Nothobranchius furzeri: one gene and its partner. The protein of the gene in region 1 interacts with the protein of each later gene in a pairwise test. Links are inferred from orthologs where the notes say so. Each region holds a gene or a part of one and is shown in the gene's direction. Other genes may lie near its edges.

Evidence for each region.
Region 2: the proteins of jade1 (region 1) and yju2 interact in a two-hybrid assay, tested with the Homo sapiens proteins (2 studies listed by BioGRID and IntAct). The two-hybrid records come from large-scale screens. The link is inferred for Nothobranchius furzeri from reciprocal best matches to the Homo sapiens genes JADE1 and YJU2.

The regions. Positions count from the first base shown.
Region 1 is NC_091758.1:17,731,482-17,735,686, forward strand, and holds the start of jade1 (protein Jade-1), read left to right. Parts: upstream 1-1,403; 5' UTR 1,404-1,522; coding exon 1,523-1,536; intron 1,537-4,205.
Region 2 is NC_091758.1:25,015,577-25,019,588, reverse strand, and holds the start of yju2 (splicing factor YJU2), read left to right. Parts: upstream 1-1,207; 5' UTR 1,208-1,338; coding exon 1,339-1,362; intron 1,363-1,609; coding exon 1,610-1,710; intron 1,711-2,369; coding exon 2,370-2,514; intron 2,515-2,614; coding exon 2,615-2,749; intron 2,750-2,829; coding exon 2,830-3,011; intron 3,012-3,099; coding exon 3,100-3,247; intron 3,248-3,522; coding exon 3,523-3,688; intron 3,689-3,775; coding exon 3,776-3,897; 3' UTR 3,898-4,012.

The DNA.
Region 1 (4,205 bases):
ATTAAAAGAATAAAATTTTTACTGCAGGAAGCTGATTTCCTCGATCAGGTGGTTAAAATTAATATGTTTAAAGGTTAATTAACTTGATTTGAATCTAAAAGTGTTTAAATTTTATAAATCAATGGTGCAAATATTTGCATTTCATTTATATTTATTAAAAAAGTAAATTTGTACAAAACTTTAAATGAAAGAAAAATGTTGTGTAAAGAAGAAACGTTTCTATTTTAGCTCCATGTTATAAACACAATTCTTCAGCTGACATAATTTAAATGAATCTTTAAAGATACCAAGTGTTTATTAGCAGTAAACCCTAAACTATAAATGGTATTTTTATATGATCTGTCTCTTTAATAATCAGTTTGCCCTAAAAGGAGTGGGTGTTGGGAAAGCTGAGTCATTCACACTAATACAAGAATTGTGATAAATTTGAGTTAATCCGTTGGTTCTTAATAAACAAATCCATTATTTTCCTGAGGCGGTAAAATACTTTGGACGTTTATGATCACGGCAATAATAAAATATACTCATCTCCGATCTGGTTGTGGGATAGTGTGCTGCCCTCTAGCGGAGTCCGGGCGCAGCTGCAGTCCCTTGGTAACCTCCTCCCAGACCGCCGCTCTGGAATACGGGTCAAGCGGATCTCAGCTAAAACTGCGCCCCACAGCGAACTCAAGCATCGGCTTGCATCGGTCTGACGTGCTCGTACGTACTGTACAACTTATTTCAAGTGTTCTTATTAACACGCACACATGTAAACAAATCTTGTAATCGGGAAAGGTGGGCAAGTTTCCGTTATGGTCGCACGAGCGGTCCGCTAGGAAAACGCGACGTCGTCATTTAAAATGGCGCCAAAGGTTTACCTCAGCCCGTTCTGTAAACATCCCACTCTCTACTGCTGGTTAGCCACACTGAAAACCAACTTGTGTTTACATGTTAATTAATATTTCTTATCCAGAGATGTATATTGAACTTGTGTAAGATTTATGCATTAATATCTGACCCCTAACTTTTGACTGATTGCGGCAGTGGCTGATTTAATAAGGGACACAGCGTCTGCAATGGCTACCAACTAGCTCCGAAGTTGCTAACCCCAGGCATATTTGTTTTGCTTTGAGTTTTTTTCCCCTAGAGTGAAGTTGTGTGACGTGAACTGTGTTATACCGGTTCTTGTGTCTCGATACTGCAAGCGAAAGTAGTTATCTGATGATTACGCCATTAAGGCGCCGGGTATGTGTTGGCCTGGACGATGCACACAGCAGCAGCTATCGGGCTAGCAGCGTTCGATAGCTGCAATCACCGTGAGATCTTTCAAATTCAGAACAACTTTGGGTCTTTTGGAATTTTTCATCATTATCTAACGGAACACACAGCCGCTTTCTGGATTCCGCTGTAGTTTTTTTTTCTCAGCGTCACTTTTTGCTGCACCAACACGGGCGTCACGGACACGGGTGTTTAGAATCTACTGGTAGTTAGGTTATCTGGTGAGATTTGCCGATTCGCTACGTGATCAGCGCAGCATTTAATGAACCGTTTTCAGTAAGTTATTGTTGTATTTTCTTTGACCTATCATATCAATTTGATATTATCAAACATCAAACGTGGGGTCTGTTTTTATTTTGTCTGCCTTAACGTAAAACTACTAATTGTCAACACTTTTTGTGTGTGCGTGTACGTTGAGATTACGTTGTACGGCCGCTTCGGAAGTCTACGGAAGCCGCCAGTTCTTATTTTTATATGCCGATGGTTCTTACGAAGCAAAATACAAACGCGTTTGCTCAGATTAACATTGGTGTTTCAGCGTCTATGTAAACGGGAAACGGAAAGTGGCATAACACCGGAAGTGAAGCGAGTTTAAAATGACAATATCCGGTTATAATATTCAAAAAAATAAGTGGTTCATGTGGTGGTGTCACCATCATATTTTAATAAACAACATTTCCATTTCTTCATTTGTTACATTTAAATAAAAACGTGCTCATTTAAATTACTTTGAAGTTTTTTTTTATTTTGTTAGTTACACACACATCCGGCTTGGAACACATATCTTATTTAAAGAGCAAGTCACCCCCAAATAAATTTTTTTTTGCTGATAAACTAAATAAACGAGTGTCTAATCGTGCTGCAGACACGTGTAGTGAATAATTTGGCACTTCAGTCCATCTTAGTTAAAATTTAAATATTCTGCCTAAAACTGGCAGTGTTGTGCCGTTGTCAGGTAAAAACTCTGCACTGTATTTTAATTTAAGTCTGCCACCGCTATTGGCTAAGAGGTATGCTATGATGTAAACTGGTACATTATGATGTCACAATGCTGTTGTGAGCCTGTGTGTGTGTATTTGTTAGCAGCTCCGCCTTCTCGGTCTGCCAGGCAACAGCATTTGTTTCATTTTTCAAACAGGAAGTGAGAGTGGAGTTAGACTCTGGTAGGGGTTGACTTGCTCTTTAAGTCCAGGCTGTAATTTCTTGCTACTCTGCGGCCTTGGAGGCAGGTGGTGTTTCTGTTTATTTGTGGGTTGTTGTTGGATGTAAACTTGAAATAGACCGATATATCAGGGCGATATTTACCAGTTATTATACATATAGTCGGGCACTTCCGCTGGCAGCCCACTGCTGCTGCTGAATTTAATTTTTTAATGTGTATTTACGTTCCTGAATAACACTTGCTTTAAAACATTATTGTTGATTAACATTTTATTTACCTACCTGTTTTGTATATTTAATACGTGTCTGTTATTCATTTCTTTGATTAACTTTGATTAAACAAATAATTAAAACATGGAGATGCACGCAAAATTAATATTGTTAGTTAAATTCAGTGAACGTTGTGCTTTCACTGTTATTAGTGACATCTTAGTGTGTAAATAAGGTAGGAAAATTCAGCCTTAAAAATAGGCCCAAAGAATCGGCTGACTGTGACTTCTACAGGTGCTGGCCAGTAAATTAGAATATCATCAAAAGGTTGAAAATATTTCAGTAATTCCATTCAAAACGTGAAACTTGTACATTATATTCATGCAATGCACACAGACCAATGTATTTCCGATGTTTATTACGTTTAATTTTGATATTTATAGGTGACAACCAATGAAAACATCAAATCTGGTATCTCAGAAAATTAGAATATTCTAAAGGCCAATGAAAAAATGTTTGTTTCTCTAATGTTGGCCAACTGAAAAGAATGAACATGAAAAGAATGTGCATGTATAGCACTCAATACTTAGTCGGGGCTCCTTTTGCCTCAATAACTGCAGTAATGCGGCGTGGCATGGACTCGATCAGTCTGTGGCACTGCTCAGGTGTTATGAGAGCCCAGGTTGCTCTGATAGTCGTCTTCAGCTCCTCTGCATTGTTGGGTCTAGCGTATTGCATCCTCCGCTTCACAATACCCCATAGATTTTCTATGGGGTTAAGGTCAGGCGAGTTTGCTGGCCAATCAAGGACAGGGATACCATGGTCCTTGAACCAGGTGCTGGTGGTTTTGGCACTGTGTGCAGGTGCCAAGTCCTGTTGAAAGGTGAAGTCTGCATCCCCATAAAGTTGGTCAGCAGCAGGAAGCATGAAGTGCTCTAAAACTTCCTGGTAGACGGCTGCATTGACCCTGGACCTCAGGAAACAGAGTGGGCCAACACCGGCAGATGACATGGCACCCCACACCATCACTGACGGTGGAAACTTTACACTGGACCTCATGCAACGTGGATTCTGTGCTTCTCCGCTCTTCCTCCAGACTCTGGGTCCTTGATTTCCAAAGGAAATGCAGAACTTGCTTTCATCAGAAAACATAACTTTGGACCACTCAGCATCAGTCCAGTCCTTTTTGTCCTTGGCCCAGGCGAGACGCTTCTTGCGCTGTTTCATGTTCAAGAGTGGCTTGACACACGGAATGCGACACCTGAATCCCATGTCTTTCATGAGTCTCCTCGTGGTGGTTCTTGAAGCGCTGACTCCAGCTGCAGTCCACTCTTTGTGGATCTCCCCCACATTTTTGAATGGGTTTGTCGTCACAATTCTCTGCAGGGTGCGGTTATCCCTAGAGCTTGTACACTTTTTTCTACCACATTTTTTCCGTCCCTTCGCCTGTCTGTTAATGTGCTTGGACACAGAGCTCTGCGAACAGCCAGCTTCTTTAGCAATCACCTTTTGTGTCTTGCCCTCCTTGTGCAAGGTGTCAATGATTGTCTTTTGGACAGCTGTTAAGTCAGAAG
Region 2 (4,012 bases), about 7.3 Mb from region 1:
TTCCAAACAGATCACAACATGCCCTATAGGTTAAAAAAATTGTAAGTCGTCTGCTAAGCACATAAACAAAGATAGATAGCTTTTTTTATAAAAGGCTTTAAAAACAGCCCAAGCTGACCAAACACACAAGCAGCAAAACAACCAGTGTCTAATATTTTATGTCCCTGCTATGGAATGTTTAAAAGCAATAAACATCTTTATTATTTTCTATGATTGTCTCAGGGAAATCAGTCTCTATCCGACTCACTGATGAATCATGTTGATCACAAAGCTGCTTGTGACACAGACATAAAGCATCAAAGATATAATCAGTTATCTGGGCTTGAAGCAGGCGGATCTAAGCAGAGATGTTCTGTTTAGCTCTTCAAATACCCCATAGATTGTTTAATTAACATGAACTCTTTTAACCTTTTTAAAGCTTAAATCAGATCTCAGGTCCACACTGACACCAACCTGTATTCAAGATCCAATTTCCTTCTGCACAGATAAACTTTAACCCCTGAACAGTGTTTGACCACCAAACCATTGCAGACACCCCTATTTCTGATGCATAGGGAGAAGCCAAAGGTCATGACCTTCTTCACTGTCTCCAAACAAAGACAGATAACAGAAGGAAGCATGGTTTCTGTACATCAAACAATGACGCAGGCTGATCTAATGAGATAAAGTTTGTCCGATTTGTTTTGGGTGATTTATTTATTACCTAATTCTGAAATGTGTCTGACGTGCCTTTTGGGTACCCAGACGTATTCCAACAATTTGGGATGTGTTAAATGCTGAAATGTCGACATTTTTACATTTAATTTAAAAAAATCTTTAAATCCTTGTTATACGTTTTGTAAATCCCAAATAAAACACATTCTCTACACTCACCGAGGTGTTTTGCTTAAATAATCACCAAATGAAATTATTTTATTTCATGCCAATGCCAATCCGACCAAATTATCTTTCTCATTCCTTTTCCCCCCAATTTCCCTGATTTTTATTATCATCGTTTTGAATCTTTTATTTTGTTTGTTTCTTGTGAAGCGCCTCGTGATTTTCATCTAAGAGCTATATTTATAAAAACTCCTTTCTTCTTCTTCTTCTTCTTCTTCTTCTTCTTCTTCTTAGATATGTATATAAACGAGTAAACACGTGTTTGTAGTTTATGTTTCCATGGACATGATATCTATGGTCGTCGTCGTTCCACAAGGGGGCAGCATCGCCTTTTCAAAGGCGGAAGTGACTAAACAGAGAAACCGGAAGTTTACAGTGCTATCACTAATAGTCAACGTTGCGTACTAGTTTCTAAACCTTTAAGATATCTGTACTTTTTATCACTAACAAAAGTAAAAAATGTCTGAAAGAAAAGTTCTGAACGTAAGTAATCATAACAGAGTGATGTTTTTACAAAGTGGATCAGAAACAGAGTAATTTCCGTCTTAATAGATAACGAGAACAAGCTAACATTAGCAGTGTTGATAAATAAACGAGACGTGTTGACGTTTGTAACTTTTAATGAGCGTAACCTATAATGAGTTTTGGATTAAAAAGTTTTTTTTAGATTCATTACATGTTTACGGCTTTGTCTCTGATAATTATTTAACTTCTGCTTTTACTTCCACAGAAATATTACCCTCCAGACTTCGACCCGTCCAAAATCCCTAAACTTAAACTCCCAAAAGATCGACAGTATGTGGTCAGATTGATGGCTCCATTCAATATGAGGTAGGTGTGTAAATGAGTGCGTTTAGTTTCATTTGGTGGGACAATACAACCACTTTCAGAGCATGATTCCTACAGTTTGATTGTTTCTTCACACAAAATCTTTCTTGTTCACATCTTGACTGTGTTTTTACTCCTGATTTTGGTTACTATTGTTGTCACATGATGTTTTTATTGGTTTGAGGTATTTGCCCTGATTTTACTCATGTTGTACAGCGCTTTGTGATTTATATCTGTGAAAGGCGCTACGTAAATAAACTTTACTTACGTACTTACTTACTTACTACAAAATGTATACAATAAACTCAGTTGTTAAGATTAAACGTAAAGGTCTAAGTTTAATTTTATAAATGAACACTTTTCCTTCTGTGGCAAGGTAGAGAAACGAGGGCCCGGGTGGGATTCGATCCCCAGACTCCCAAGTGAGAGTAACGCACGCTAAACAGTCAGCCAAAGCCCTTGGTGAAGTAGCCAGGGCGCATGATCAGTCGAGACACTGTGACAGGACGCTCACACTGCCACACTTCATTTATTTAGTTTGTTCCCCTATACGTCTATTTAAATCAGAAATCCTGGTTCATTGTGTTTAGGTTAAAACCTGATTATGCTTTTTTATATCAGACTGAGGTTTCTTAATGAGATGTATGCATGTTTAAACGCAGGTGTAAAACATGCGGTGAGTACATCTACAAGGGGAAGAAGTTCAATGCACGCAAAGAGACTGTCCAGAACGAGCACTACATGGGACTGCCAATCTTTCGTTTCTACATCAAATGTACTCGATGTCTTGCTGAAATAACATTTAAGGTGAGGTATTATTATTGTCACAATAGCACTGTTGCAAGCTGCTTTTACTGTTAGTAATCTGCTAGTAACATATCCACATACGCCTATGTTTTGATTCTAGACTGACCCAGAGAACACGGATTATGCCATGGAGCATGGAGCAACACGCAACTTCCAGGCAGAGAAACTTATTGAGGAAGAGGAAAAGAGAATCCATCAGGAGAGGGAAGACGAGGAGCTAAACAACCCCATGAAGGTTGGTGTTTTAAATGTTTGTTCTTGTTTTTCAAATTAGTGTTCTGAACAGTTAAGTAATGTTTCCCTAATCCCCTTCAGGTGCTGGAGAATCGCACTAAGGATTCCAAGATGGAGATGGAAGTTCTGGAAAACCTCCAGGAGCTGAAGGAGCTCAATCAGAGGCAGGCACAGGTGGACTTTGAGGGAATGATTGATCAGTACAGAGAACTGGAAAAACGGGAGAAGGAAAGAGAAAAAGAAGAAGATGAGCGTGAAACAAAGTGAGTGAGAACGGCTCGTGTATCATTTGCACGTCTAAATGAAAAGTCTGTTTGCTTCTTTGCTAAACATTCAAATATTGCTTTGCAGAGAGATGTTGGAGCGGGTGCTCGTGAAAAGACTGAGAGACTCCGACTCTGATTCAGAAGAAGAAGAGGAGAGCAGCAGCCAGTCAAAGACTGCTGGTGCAGACAAGCCGACAGATATCCTCACCACTGATAAACACGAGGAAGCACAGGTTTGTACAGAGTCTCATATATGTAAAATATTGGGTTATGGCTTATTTTGGCTGTTTTTTAAAAGTTATTATATAAATATTAAAAGCTTAGTATTAAAATCTTCAATTTCTTTATGTAGTTAAAAAAAATCTAAGTTTGATTGTAGAAGGTTTTACATCATTTTAAAAGACTGACATGGGTGGAATAAAGCTTCCTACAGCTCAAAATGAACAAACATGACAAAAACCAAGCTGCAAGCAGCGAATAGTGGAATATTTGATGCATGTTTCCGCAGGGGTCCTCATCCGGGGGCGTGAAGAGGGCTAAGGTAGAGAGCTGGGAGAGGAGTGTTGGGACGCTGGGAGGCAAAGGAGCTCTCAGCTCTCTGGTAGTACGAAAGAAACCAGCAGCGATGATCAGAAAACCGAGTACAGAGGAAGCTCCCCCTGCCTCAAAAACAGGTAAAATTTTTGTGTTGACGATCATTCTAAAAGCTCAATAGCTTAATTATTAATCTTTTATTCCACATTAATGTAATTTATTCACAGGTTCAAAGACATCAACAACCGACACCACCAACGCTTCTAAAACCGGCGCCACCCCAAATGGGTCATCATCTCTCAGCCTGCTGGGGGCGTATTCAGACAGCGACAGCAACGAAAGCGAGTGACTGAAACCCGGCTGGCACAGAAATAATGCAACAGGGAACATGATGGAATAGAATTATTTAGTGAAATTGTGTAATTATTGGTGGGTGTGTATTAGAAGACATATTTACATAAGTT